3 linked regions of the Rattus norvegicus genome follow. The protein of the gene in region 2 interacts with the protein of the main gene of each other region in a biochemical or structural test. Links are inferred from orthologs where the notes say so. Each region holds a gene or a part of one and is shown on either strand. Other genes may lie near its edges.

Region 1 (4,395 bases), on a different chromosome or scaffold from region 2:
AGATCTCACTCTTGGAGCTGGGTGAGCTGGCCTCTCCTGACAATGTCCCAGACCCAAAACAAACCTAACAAATGTTATGGACAGAAGCAAATATTCTACCAAAAAGAAGAAAGGTGTCGTAGGATGGCAGGATTATGGTTTTCATTATTAACTTCTCATTACTGTTATAGTGTTTCAATAAGCTAATACAGTTCTAAATAGTCCCAACTGTTTCCAGGTAAAATATTTTAAGCCAAACTTAAAAAGGAGAAAAAAGGAATCTACCCTCTAACCTAATATATTCTCCCCAAATCACCTTCCACACTTGGCCTAGAACAGACTCAAAGTCACACATAGCTGGCCAGGTATCTTCTTCCAGACTGTGTGCTTACGAATAGGACAACAGTCTCCTGTCTGTTCCCTCCTTGTCCTTTAATGGTTTTACATTTTGTGTATAAACCTTACACACTACAATCAGGATAGTCTCTTGTGAGGCACTGGCTGTGTCAGCTGGGTGTCACGCTGTCAACAGCAGTCTAACAAGGCTCAGGGCAGAGCTGCTCCTTGACCTTCTCACTCTGCTTAGGACACTCTTTCCTGCACTCACCCCATAATTCCAATGGATGAGAGGAGCATTCAATCAGGAGCCCCTAAAAGTAGTGACACACCTAGGCCTAAGGTCTACTTTAAATACCACCTCATCACTTCAACGCAAGCCTAGACAACATGTAAGACTTAGTGCTAGTTTTCTTCTTGCTTTGCCTAGAATTTGTATTTCTCCTGCCTAAGCTTCCCACCAACTAAAATAACAGCTGTGTGTCACCATGCTCAGCAAGTAAAATAAATTTTTAGCTTACTGAGGACCATAATCAAGGTCTTACACACCGCAGGTAAGCACTTTTCCAACAGCTACACTCACCCCCCCCCATATATTCTTACAATTAGAAATTAGCTAACGAATCAAGTGCTTCATATTTGACGTCTTTTCTTTCCTTTGGGCAGGATGCAGCTCAGTGGTATTCACCTAGTGTATAGAAGGCCCAAATCCCACCTCCAGCATGCACAGCAAGTCAATTCCATATTAACCCTTGCTTATTTTTAAGTCTCTTAAGTTTGTAGACAACCCCAGTTAGAGTTAGTAAAATAATTTTAGCTACAGACTTTAACAGGAAGTAAAACACATAAAGAATGGACAAGTCTCTTAGACAAATTGAACACACACAGAAAAGTAGCCCATAGACCAGAGACACTCATTTCTACCTTTTCCCCGAAACACAGCAAATGCTGGGTAACTTTTTCACCCAAGCCTCAAAACTTCAAATTACTACTCATCTGAAGAAGGAAAAACCCAAGAAGCCAACCATAAGCATGGCTTTATTGGGATCCTATTTAAATAATAAATAACCATTTAAATGAATTTTCAAGAACTGTTGTTTTAGTTTGGTTAAGACAATGGTATATATGGGGTTCATGTTCAAACCTTCAGCACAGCAGAGCATCAACCCCACCTTTCCCTGGGCTAGAGACCAGGCAAGCAAGGGGTGCACTTGTTCCCACCAAACATGCACAACACTAAAGGACAAGAAAACCAACTTCAAAGACAAGTTAGACACCAATAGTAGCAAGTTTACTTTTTTTGTTGTTGGGTTTTTGTTTTTTGGAGATAGAATCTTGTCATGTAGCCTAGGCAAGCTTGTCACTAAGTAGTCCAGGCTAGCCTGTAACTAACTCATGATTCTTCCTCCACCACAAGAAACCTGGATACTTCTGCTGAGTAAGCACATGACTGACTCTGGGGTGAAAAAAATGAAACTACTCAAGACTTGAAACAGAAAGGAGTAACTTAGGATAAGTTAAGCCCAAAAGGTATCTATCTCTCATAAGTACTGGCAATGTTCTCAATAAGGTAGTTTTCTTCTTGGTAAGCTTGTAAACAGTAGATAGGACGCTATATTCAGTTATCTGGCCACACCCTTCAGACTGTCTTAGGTACTCACTGTCAAGTTGTCTCTCAGTAACTGCATTATTAGCGTGCTGTCTTTGTACGACTCTTCACTTAATGTATCAAGTTCAGCAATGGCTTCATCAAAAGCCTACAAATGCAAAACAAAGTACACCTTAGAATTCAAATAATGAACACTGCCCAATTCCCAAGTAACAGGTAAAATACATACTGTTTTTGCAAGAGAGCAGGCTTTCTCTGGGGAGTTCAGGATCTCATAGTAGAACACAGAGAAGTTGAGGGCCAGACCCAGTCTGATGGGGTGTGTCGGCTGCATCTCCTTTTTGCTGATTTCAAATGCTTCTTGGTATGCTTGCTGTGACTGGTCCACAATTCCTAGATAATGCAACACAGTGAAATGGACTTTCAAATTCTATGCTGCAGCTTAAGCCAAACTTTTCATTTAAGATTGCATGTGTCCTCTGAAATATACGCTCTGACAGTCTTATCCAAATTATACTCTTTAAAACAAACAATGCTGTCCTGGATCACACTAGTCACTCGCTGTTGTCAAGAGAAAAGCAACTCAGAGTGGAGCTGAGTTGAAATGATAACTCTGAGGCAAAGAACACTGGCTACTTTTCCCAGTCTGGTTTGATTCCCAGCACCCTAGGGACAGCTTACAACAGTCTGTAACTGCAATTCCGGGGGATCCAATCGCGCTGCTCTGACCTACAACAGTATCGGACACATGTGCCCAAACACATGCAGGCAAACACTCATACACACATCCATCTGATCACCATCTTGTGATTTCCTCATTCTACTCTGAGGTTAACCTCTGTTAACATCGAGGAGACATTCTTATACAAACAGCTTTTCAGAAAGCTTCAAGTTCAAAATACTAACAGGCAAAAACACAAGACAAAAAGAAAGAGTGCTCAGTTCTCTAAGTAACATAACAGAAAAGAAGATGTATATAAGCTCAACCAAGCAAAACCAGCTCACCTTTCTTGTCATCACCAGCAGCAACCTCAGCCAAGTAGCGGTAGTAGTCACCCTTCATTTTCAAATAGAAGACTTTGCTTTCTGGCTGCGAAGCATTGGGGATCAAGAACTTTTCCAAAAGAGACTTCAGAAGAAAAGAAACAGAAATATTAAGACAATACTTACAAATCAAAGTAAAGTATTTTTCTTAAGCAAACACTATAGACTCAGTTGTAAAAGATTTCAAAACAAAACCTTAGTTTTTCTAACAGCACAGCATTCTAGAGTGCTGGTGCAGGAGGACTGTGGTGGATGAGGACCAAGCTCGACTGCAAACCAATGCTGTCTCAAAAGTGTAGTAAATCAATAAGCAACTCAAGGCAGGGAAAGGCCAGATGAAAAAAAAACACTTGTTAATTTCAGCATAGCAATTGGTCTTATCTACAGATCATCACAAATGGTAAAATTTCATCCTGTAGCTTTGCTTAAAACTATTAACAACTTAAAGCTTACTGGAATTGTCACACACCAAATAAAACCAACCTTTTATAGCTAATTTCAAGTAGATGATGTAACTGCATTGGAGAGAAAAAGGTAGAACTGAGTGAATTTAAAAACAAACCAGTCTCTTACCATACCCACTCCCTTGGATACCTCTGCTTTGAAATCAAGGTGATGTTCCTGCTCATCTGGGCTGAACCCCAGATGAGCCAATTCTTCCAAGAGTACTTAGATTCTGGTTTTTATTCTCTGAAAAGATTTGAGTATCTATTATCTAATGATGGGGGACATAAGTGAATACACTTGAATCCTGCTGCCTACTCTATGAATGTAGACAGGTCATAAAGATACAGTTAACTGAGTGACCACCCCTCATAAAGTACATGATTGGCAGCTGGCGTGGGCACCTTTGTAATCTCATCACTTAAAGGCAACACAGAAGCATTCTGAGTTCAAGCATAGATTGTACTACTCATGGAGAGACCCTGCCTCTAAAAACAACCCCCCCCCAACAATAACACACTACCCAAAGGGCTAGAAACGTGTCTCAGTGACCTTGCACTGGCCCAGCAAAGCCACAGAATCAACTTGAGTGTGTGGAGGGTGCAATGTAAAAACCTAAAGTTATGACAGAAACTCCTTTAGGCAGTATTGATAAATGTTAGTGGGAATTAGCAACCTACTTTTTATCAGTAATTTCTGTATTCCTAGAAACCACGCTGAGCAGGGCTGTGGCCACACATCTTTAATCTAGCACTGGAGAAGCAGAGGAGCCAGTTCGTGAGCTCCAGGTGAGTGTAGCTAGAGCCAAGTGTCAGGACAATCAGAGCTACAGAGACCTCTGAAAAACCAAACCAAACCAACCCCCCCACCTTACTGAAGATTGCAGGAACAGACCCAACAGCAATCCCTCAGCCTCAACACTGAAGTGACTCACTTCATTAATTTTCAGAGTGCCAACCAAGTAACCACAATGTCTAAACCTC
Region 2 (4,996 bases):
CCGTCATCATCACCATCACCATCATCATTACCATCATCATCACCATCATCATCATTATCATCACCATCATCGTCACTATCACCATCATCATCACCATCATCATCCTCATCATTATCATCACCATCATCATCACCATCACCATCATCATCATCTAGAGATAGTCTCTTGCTATGTAGTCCAGGCTGGCCTTGAACTTGTGAGTCCCCTGTCTCAGCCTCCTAGTGCATGGCACCAGAACTGATAGAATTTTCTGCTGATTTGATTTAAAGTTACAAAGCCTGCCTCTCACTGAGGAATGTGGCTCAGTGGTAGAGAACTTTGTTCACATGTGCAAAGCACATGTTTCACCCCCACTGCCAAAACACAAAGAACTCACAGAACCCCTTTGAGATGAGAAAACACTGCTACAATTTCCTCTTTATTCATTCACTACTTTTTCCTTTCTTTTTTAGATTTATTTATTCATTTTGTGTATATAAGTACACTGTCAATCTCTTCAGACACACTAGAAAAGGGCATCAGATCCTATTACAGATGGTTGTAGGACACCATGTATTTGGTGGGATTTGAACTCAGGACCTCTGGAAAAGCAGTCAGTGCTCTTAACTACTGAGCCATCTCTCCAGTCCCTTTGTTTGTTTGTTTGTTTGTTTTTTTTTGTGACAGGGCTTCTTTTTGTAGACCTGGTTGTCCAGGAACTAACTCTATAGACCAGGCTGGCCTTGAACTCGAGAGCTGCCTGACCCTGCTCCCTGATGCTGGGATTAAAAGTATGGGCCAACACTGCCTGCCTGCCTGCCTGCCTTCCTCCCCCTCTTCCTTCCTTCCTGCCTGCCTGCCTTCCTCCCCCTCTTCCTTCCTTCCTTCCTGCCTGCCTTCCTCCCCCTCTTCCTTCCTTCCTGCCTGCCTGCCTTCCTCCCCCTCTTCCTTCCTTCCTTCCTGCCTGCCTTCCTCCCCCTCTTCCTTCCTTCCTGCCTGCCTTCCTCCCCCTCTTCCTTCCTTCCTTCCTGCCTTCCTTCCTCCCCCTCTTCCTTCCTTCCTTCCTGCCTTCCTCCCCGCCTTCCTCCCCCTCTTCCTTCCTTCCTGCCTGCCTGCCTTCCTCCCCCTCTTCCTTCCTGCCTGCCTTCCTCCCCCTCTTCCTTCCTTCCTGCCTGCCTGCCTTCCTCCCCCTCTTCCTTCCTTCCTGCCTGCCTGCCTTCCTCCCCCTCTTCCTTCCTGCCTGCCTTCCTCCCCCTCTTCCTTCCTTCCTGCCTGCCTGCCTTCCTCCCCCTCTTCCTTCCTTCCTGCCTGCCTTCCTCCCCCTCTTCCTTCCTTCCTTCCTGCCTGCCTTCCTCCCCCTCTTCCTTCCTTCCTGCCTGCCTGCCTTCCTCCCCCTCTTCCTTCCTTCCTTCCTGCCTGCCTTCCTCCCCCTCTTCCTTCCTTCCTGCCTGCCTTCCTCCCCCTCTTCCTTCCTTCCTTCCTGCCTTCCTTCCTCCCCCTCTTCCTTCCTTCCTTCCTGCCTGCCTTCCTCCCCCTCTTCCTTCCTTCCTTCCTGCCTTCCTCCCCCTCTTCCTTCCTTCCTCCCTTCCTGCCTGCCTTCCTCCTCCCCTTCCTTCCTTCCTTCCTTCCTCCCTTCTTCCCTCCCTCCCTGCCTGCCTTCCTCCCCCTCTTCCTTCCTTCCTTCCTGCCTTCCTCCCCCTCTTCCTTCCTTCCTCCCTTCCTGCCTGCCTTCCTCCTCCCCTTCCTTCCTTCCTTCCTTCCTCCCTCCCTCCTTCCCTCCCTCCCTGCCTGCCTTCCTCCCCCTCTTCCTTCCTTCCTGCCTGCCTTCCTCCCCCTCTTCCTTCCTTCCTGCCTGCCTTCCTCCCCCTCTTCCTTCCTTCCTTCCTTCCTGCCTTCCTCCCCCTCTTCCTTCCTTCCTGCCTTCCTCCCCCTCTTCCTTCCTTCCTCCCTTCCTGCCTGCCTTCCTCCTCCCCTTCCTTCCTTCCTTCCTTCCTTCCTTCCTTCCTTCCTTCCTTCCTTCCTCCCTTCTTCCCTCCCTCCCTCCCTGCCTGCCTTCCTCCCCCTCTTCCTTCCTTCCTTCCTTCCTGCCTTCCTCCCCCTCTTCCTTCCTTCCTCCCTTCCTGCCTGCCTTCCTCCTCCCCTTCCTTCCTTCCTTCCTTCCTTCCTTCCTTCCTTCCTTCCTCCCTCCTTCCCTCCCTCCCTCCCTGCCTGCCTTCCTCCCCCTCTTCCTTCCTTCCTTCCTGCCTGCCTTCCTCCCCCTCTTCCTTCCTTCCTGCCTGCCTTCCTCCCCCTCTTCCTTCCTTCCTTCCTTCCTGCCTGCCTTCCTCCCCCTCTTCCTTCCTCCCTTCCTTCCTGCCTGCCTTCCTCCTCCCCTTCCTTCCTTCCTCCCTCCCTCCTTCCCTCCCTCCCTCCCTGCCTGCCTGCCTGCCTTCCTTCCTTTCTTTTTTTTTTTTTTTTTCGGAGCTGGGGACCGAACCCAGGGCCTTGCGCTTGCTAGGCAAGCGCTCTACCACTGAGCTAAATCCCCAACCCCTTCCTTTCTTTTTCTAATGTTCAAATGCTAAGGTTTTTTAGGCAGCAGGGGGATTAGCCTTCAGCTCTGCCTGGCCATCCCTACCATCTCTGAAACAGTCCCCCCTGCTCCAGCACACACAGAAATAGGGTCAGTTAGAACCCTGTCGTGTTCTAGACTGATTTCTGGCTCTAGTCTTTCCTTCTCTGGTTACTGAGCAACTTCAAGTGAAGCAGCTTCCAGGAACCCAGTCACTCTCTTGGATCGGTGACCCACACACGCTGCCTGCCACACACTCATTTATGTGATGGTGTATTTATGACCGGTTTCGCCGAAGTCACCGTCACGAGTCAGGGATAGACAGCTCATGCCTGTAATCCCACCTGCACAGCAGGACACACACTGCATGCTACATACCCTCCTCCATTACATGCATGTACATGTACCTGTATATGTATGCCCCACCCCAGGTGCATGTGACTGTTTCCACCCAGAGGAGGAGTGGAAGTACACCGTCATGTCTACGGGGTCCCCTCGATCTGGATCCTGACGAGGGCACTTCTGCCATTCCCAAGGGCGCTTTGTTTCTTCCACATATGCATGGCCAGTGGCTATCAGCTTAGGGTGCTGTGACCCCACCCTGGGTCTGCTTGTCTTTGCTTCCTGTTCCCCTTTCTCCTCCCCGGCCTTAGGGACTCCTCAGGGAGAGGAATGTTATTTGTCATCTGGTAGGCCTCAGAAGGTATGCAGGGGATAATCATCTGGGTTCCCGCTCTGAGTGAAGTCACCAGCCGGGGAGACTTCTGGATCACACTCACCGTACTCTTCTCCTCGCAGGATTTCGGGGGCGATATAGTTCGGGGTTCCACAAAAAGTGCTTGTTGTGTCGCCGGGGCCTAGGCCTTCCTGTGGGGACAGAGTGACCAGGAGGGTGAATCTCACACGGAGTAGCTCTCCAGTGATTCTCCACTGTCAACCAGAAAACTGACATAGAGTTACAGGCCTGGGTGCCTCAGTATGGCCACCACTGAGCTAATGCCTCGGCAGGGAATACTTCTGCAGGATGCCAAGGGCACACACAGGCAATCGAGCTGGGGGGGACAGACAAGGTGGGCACCTTGCACATGCCGTAGTCCGTCAGCTTAATGTGTCCATCGGCATCGAGGAGGACGTTGTCCAGTTTTAGGTCCCGGTAGATGATCCCTCTCTCATGTAGGAAGTTGAGAGCGATACAGATCTCAGCAGCATAGAACCTGAGGTGGGAGGCATTCTGTAGTCAGTAGAGGGACAATGGCAGGCAGCCAGACAGGAGCCCCGTGAGGTATCCTGGTCCTCACTGGGGAGATGCGAGTGTAGATTGTAGTGAGAGCCACTTCCTGCCCACCACAGCCAGAGTAAGTGAAGAGAACTCGGGACCCTGGACGCCCCGTGTGTGGTTGGTGGGAATGAAACCCTCAGAACATGAAATCTAGGGTTGTGTGCAGCTCAGTGGGAAAGCTCCTGCCTCACTTACATAAGTACCAGGACAAACAAGCAAATAAGAATGAAAATCTAGGGTTGTGTGCAGCTCAGTGGGAAAGCTCCTGCCTCACTTACATAAGTACCAGGACAAACAAGCAAATAAGAATGAAAAACGAAAAATCACACTAATGCACGCATGCCTGAGGCTGGAGACAGCAGAGGAGGCCCAGTAGTATGAGGAAATGCCACCATGATATCCATTACCCTGTATGCATGTTTTAAAAACCGAAGGGGAAAAAAAATGGAAGTGGGGTCTCAAGCCATGTTGAACGCCTATGCCTGTAGCAATCTTATTCATAAAAGCTAAAACGGGGAAGTAGTGGATAAAGGGAGCACGGGTAGGGCAGAGTGGCTCATGGTTGCAGGTTTGAGGCGGGTCTGGGTCACACAGTAAATCCCACTGAAGAGGAAGAAAGGGAATAGGAATGGGGATGGGGAGAGAGTAGGCCCTCGGTGCAACGGAATATTACCCAACCTTTGAAAGGAAAGGGTTTCCAACAGGCCACATGGCGGGTCAGGAAGATGACATCATGCCAAGTCAAATATACAAGAAAACAGATAATCCAAGATTCCACTCAGGGCACTCTCTGGGATCAGACAGGAGGGATGGAGATGAGGAGCCTTGGAATCAGCATTCCAATGTGAGATGGCAATAAGTCATTTGCTGTCTCTGCCCCCTTTCCCTAAAAGTGGCCTCGGTGACTCACAGGACTTCATACGGGGAAAACTAAGTAGGAAGGGGCCATCGAGAAGCTGAGGACAGAGGGCTGGATGGCAGCTGTTCAAGGCCAGAAACGGAACCGGGGACTCTCTCCTGATGCTAGTCAAGGTCTTCTGTATTCTAGCGCTGAGGGAATGTGGACTTTACAGGGAAGAGGACAAAGCCAGATGTCACAATTGTGAAAACAAGACAGCCGGGAGCCTGGTCTCTTGGGCGAGGGGCTTCCACTGAAAGTCTAGGGAGGGACCGGTCTTGGGTGCAAA
Region 3 (4,996 bases), on a different chromosome or scaffold from region 2:
CGAGAGACAATATCCACAGCCCCCAGAATCTCCCTTCCCGTCTCAATCCCAGCCAGGTTTATATTTAGACTGTTTTTGTGAATTAAAACAATATTCTAAAATGGGAAAGAAACAAGATTTTGCCGAGTACCACTCAGAGCTGGGGCTGCCCCCCTCAGTTGTCCAGGAAGTGGTTGCAGGCAGCACAGTCCCCCAGACAGAGTGAGAGGGAGAGTGAGCGGTCTGCTTCCACTGACTCGGAGGGGGTCAAGGCTGCCAAGCTCACTCTTTCCCATCAGTCCAACAGTGAGGACTAATTTCATAATTTTGATTTTTAAAAAAAATTAAGAAGAGGGGACTGGCAAGATGGCTCAGTGGTTAAGAGTAGTGGCTTGTTCTTTCAGAATGCACAGATTGATTCCCAGCACCCACAGACCACTCACGATGCCTGCAACACCAGTTCCAGAGGACCTGACACCTCTGGCTTCTGAGAACAACTGTACCCATGTGTGCAGAACAAAACACACACACATACTCTCTCACAGACACTCACTCTCACACATACACATACACTCTCTCATATACACACACTTATACTTGCATTCGCACACACACACACACACACACACACACACACACTCTCGTACATGCACACACAATTTAAAAATAAAGCTCTAAGAAGGAAGGCCAGTGGCAAGATGGTCTTGCAGCTCGAAGCACCTGCTGCCTATCCCCCTACAAGCTGTCCTCTAACCTCCACAAGACTGTCTCTGTCTCCATAGTGGTTAGAAACACAGATTTTCAGGCTGGAGAGATGGCTCAGTGGTTAAGAGCACTGACTGCTCTTCCAGAGGTCCTGAGTTCAAATCCCAGCAACCACATGGTGGCTCACAACCATCTGTAATGGGATCTGATGCCCTCTTCTGGTGTGTCTGAAGACAGCTACGGTGTACTCACATATATAAAATAAATAAATCTTAAAAAAAAACACACACACACATAGATTTTCTCCCATACATTCAGGAAGCGTGGATGTTAATTAAGCCGGCAACACAATGCTTTAGCTTCTGTACTACCTGGTGTAAGACTTGCACAAGAGGCAGGCACTCTGTCACAGGCAAGCTCCCCACCCTCCGAAGTGCGTGCTCCTACAAAGGCACTCACCCTTCTTCTGTATAAAGACCCTGAGCAGTGGGTTGGCAGTGGAAACGGCCTTGTGGTAGTTGTCATCATTGTTTATGGGCAGCAAGTCCCCGTGGATGTCTGCGTAGCCCACTAGCACGTCAACGTTGGGGATCTTGTGAACGTGTTGCAGCAGTCCATAAAACTCCTCAAACTTTCCGGGCTTGGATCTTTCCAGAGAAAACCGCCGAAACTCAGCTCCGAACTACGAACATAAAGAACGTATTAGAAGGTACAAAGTTAGCCGCCTTTAGTCCCGCTTGGGAGGTAGAGGCAAGAGGATCTCTGTGAACCTGAGGCCACAGAAGCCCCGTGGTGAACCTCACTGCCAGGAGCGGAAGGCAAAGAGGTGCAGGAGGCATGGCTACAATCCCCATGCCAGTTCTCTCAGGACAGCCCTGCATCAACTCAGCTCCAACCTTGGGTGACACCGGAGGCATTCACAGGCCTAACTTCCTACCACGGCGGTAACACCCCCATAAAATGACTTATCTTTCCGTGGGCTGTAAGAGTCACATCTAAGTGTATCAAAAGGACTTTGAGCTTCTTGGTATGACATGAGTGACGTCATCATGTAAGGACTATACTGCTTAAGGACAGGAGAGAAGCCTAAGTTTGTGTGGGGAAGGAAAAAAGCGTATTAACACACCAGCTTTAAACCCTGCCTGGTCTGGTTAAGGAGCATGTTTGTGTGCTGGGACCAGGAGGCTGGCCTGCTTCAAAAGCTCAGCAATTAGTGAGTGAGGAGATTAACCGCCTGAGGGAGGCAGGAGATCACAGGGCAGGCAGGAAGCACCCTCATCATTCCCACTTACCTTCCAGGTCCCTCAAGGCCACACATTAAGGCTCCTCCACTGGTGTGGTAAAAGATCTCAAACGGGGAACCTAAGAAAGGTTCATCTGCCCTCTTCAAAAAGAGCCTCCTTACGAGTCACTGGGTACACAGCACATTAAATGCTCAGTTAAATGCCAGGAGCTGGGCTGATGGCTCAGCAGTCAAGGGCACGTGCTGCTCTTGCGAGGATCTGGGTTCAGTTCTCAGCACCCACAAGGTGGCTCGCAAACACTCTAGGTGTCTCTCTGAGGCTCCCTTCTGACCTCCAAGGACACCAAGCAGGACACATGGGGCACATGCATGCATGCAGGCAGGCAAAATAGTAGTACACAGCCACTAGAGGGAAAAAGGAGGGGGGGTAGGAAGGGAGGGACATTTGCTCACCCAAGGGGTGGGGTAGTTAAAATCCTATTGTTAACTTTCTTTGTTTGAGGCTAGAGATGGACCTTCGTGGTAGAGTATGAACTTCACATGTGCAAGGCTCTTGGTCCAGAGCCACGAAAAAAGTGTAAATGTTTGCTAAACACGTCTGACTGCCAGACTCTCTTTCTGTATAAATTCTGAGGCTAGTCAGGAAACGTGAATGTTCCACAGGAATAGCAGGTGCCAGGCAGAGAAAGGCCCTTATCCCAACCGGTATTCTCGGCCAACAGCAGTCCCGGGACACCCAGCCGTCCAGCCCTCTCTCTACCTATGGCCGACCCTGCTCTTCTGCTCCCCATTCGACATTACAACAAAACCCCACTGGCCGCTTCTTACTCTTAACAAATTCAAAGTTTCCAAAACACATACCTGAGATATAAACACTAACATTTGTCAGGAAAAATCAGGTGACTCATATTTAAAGTTCTCAAAAAGTTAGTCACGCCTACGCACTTCAGAGTAAATAAAACCCAGGAAACACCCTTCATATCAGTCAGTCTTACGATGTTATCTGAGGCAGTTTCTCCTCCATTTTCAGGAGGCGGGTCTCACAGCACAGCCACAGTCCACACAGGGCAAGCTGACTCATCCCAGGCTATCACCCCCTCCCCTGCAATCTGAATGGAATACACCTAATGACTTAACCCTTTAGGTTTCCCCAAAGCTTCTGGGTGCAAGCTCTCTGTGAACACTTTCTTCTCTGGCTTAAACACTTAGATATTGACAGTAGATTGTGCCCCCAACCCCCAAGAAGGCTGGCAAACGATGAAGTGCGGATGAGTTACTTCGTGCAGCAAAGTATGACTGTAAGAACTTTTCAAGACATGAAGGAAAATCAGACAGAGATCAAACGGACCCAATCAACAATTATTCGCCATGTGATTTTTCTGGCTTGGAATCCAATCTTGGCCTGTTTCCTAGCATATTCTAGAACTTAGGTTTTTTGGGGGGAAGGGGAATGGACCCTGGTCCTCTGGAAGAGCAGTCTGTGCTCTTAACCACTGAGGCTCTCCTCTAGCCCTAATGTGGTTTGTTTGCTGGACTCCCCTGAGGAGCTTTAGCTGCTCTGGGACTTGCAGTGAGAGCTGGGGCTGTGGGGTGTGCAGCACTGTTAATATTGCATTTGCTCATGGGTAGCAAAGAGGACGAGGCATGTCCCAAGACTGTGAGGCTGCGGGCAGGTGTCTTGGCTGTGGCAGAGATGCTGCCAGGCCTGAGTATGCCAGTCAAGCTCCACTGTAGCAGCTATAGCCCCTGTCCTTGAGACCAAGGTTACCTAAGGATATCACACTGATTATGGAGAACTTTCGGGGGAAACAATCAGGAAGCTAAATCAGTTACCAAAGAAAGCTATCACCCAGTTGCTGGTATCACACTTCTAACTAGACCCGTATTTACACTCCATTATTCTTACTATCTGTACCATGTCTCCCTTCCCAGAGCAAAGATAATAAAGTCGACACTATTGTTTCTTTCTTTCTTTCTGGTTGTCCAAGATAGACAGGGATTTCTCTGTGTAGTCCTGGCAGACCTGGAACTTGCTCTGTGGACAAGGCTGGCCTGGAACTCAGAGATCCTCCTGCCTCTGCGTCCACATGCTAGGGTTAAAGGCATGGGCCACCCCTGGCTGACACTACTGTTGCTGTGAAGGAGATCCTACCCACCTGCACACTAGCCAGTTCTAGTTAGGATCACGTAACTGTGATATTATAGAACTGACACTGGACCAGCAGCTGGTTCAGTAGGTAAAAGTGTTTGTGGCCAAGGCTCACAACCTGAATCCAATACCCAAAACTCACATGGTGGTGAGAATCAGCTTCCCAAAGTTGCCCTCTGACCTACACTTACACGGAGGTACCTGTGACTCTCCATATACTCTGTAAATGACCAGAATGTAATGAAAATCTAAATGAGCTTTTACCATTTACATAACACAAAATGAAAGTATTTTTACAAATCTGAGCTAGGTAGGACTAGCAACACATGCCTTTACTCCCAGCGGAGGCAATGAGATCTCTGTGAGTTCGAGACCAGCCTGGTCTACATGAGTTCTAGAACAGCCAGGGCTATGTAGAGAGAGACCCTGTCTTTTTTTTTTTTTTAATAATTTTTATTTATTTGTTATTTATAAGTACACTGTAGCCATCTTCAGACACACAAGAGGGCATCAGATCCCATTACAGATGGTTGTGAGCCACCATGTGTTGCTGGGATTTGAACTCTGGACCTCTTAACCACTGAGCTGTCTCTCCTGCCAAGGGACTCTGTCTTAAAAACAACAACAACAACAACAACAACAACAACAACAACAGAACACACACTGCTCTTCCAGAGGGCCCAAGTTTAGTTCCCACCATGTGTCCAAGCACATGTAACTTCAGCTCCAGTGAGTCGACGCCCTCTTCTGGACTCCGTAGGCACCTGCACTCATGCACACACACACATTTCAGGACAGTCAGGGCTACACAGAAAAATAAAACATCTCAAAACCTCACAAAGCAGGCCTTTGCTGTCTGTCATTCGTTAGCAGATGAGACAGCCTGACAGCATTTCCCAAGTGTATCTTCTGACTCCCTG

Evidence for each region.
Region 1: the proteins of Prkcz (region 2) and Ywhaz form a complex in vitro, tested with the Homo sapiens proteins (2 studies listed by BioGRID, with this or other methods). The link is inferred for Rattus norvegicus from reciprocal best matches to the Homo sapiens genes PRKCZ and YWHAZ.
Region 3: the proteins of Prkcz (region 2) and Pard6b form a complex in vitro, tested with the Homo sapiens proteins (2 studies listed by BioGRID). The link is inferred for Rattus norvegicus from reciprocal best matches to the Homo sapiens genes PRKCZ and PARD6B.

The regions. Positions count from the first base shown.
Region 1 is NC_086025.1:69,827,869-69,832,263, forward strand, and holds part of Ywhaz (14-3-3 protein zeta/delta), read right to left. Parts: intron 3,054-4,395; coding exon 2,930-3,053; intron 2,318-2,929; coding exon 2,154-2,317; intron 2,073-2,153; coding exon 1,977-2,072; intron 1-1,976.
Region 2 is NC_086023.1:171,110,837-171,115,832, forward strand, and holds part of Prkcz (protein kinase C zeta type), read right to left. Parts: intron 3,745-4,996; coding exon 3,609-3,744; intron 3,398-3,608; coding exon 3,310-3,397; intron 1-3,309. UniProt on the Homo sapiens protein: Calcium- and diacylglycerol-independent serine/threonine-protein kinase that functions in phosphatidylinositol 3-kinase (PI3K) pathway and mitogen-activated protein (MAP) kinase cascade, and is involved in NF-kappa-B activation, mitogenic signaling, cell proliferation, cell polarity, inflammatory response and maintenance of long-term potentiation (LTP).
Region 3 is NC_086021.1:177,211,868-177,216,863, reverse strand, and holds part of Pard6b (partitioning defective 6 homolog beta), read right to left. Parts: intron 1,367-4,996; coding exon 1,144-1,366; intron 1-1,143. UniProt on the Homo sapiens protein: Adapter protein involved in asymmetrical cell division and cell polarization processes. Probably involved in formation of epithelial tight junctions.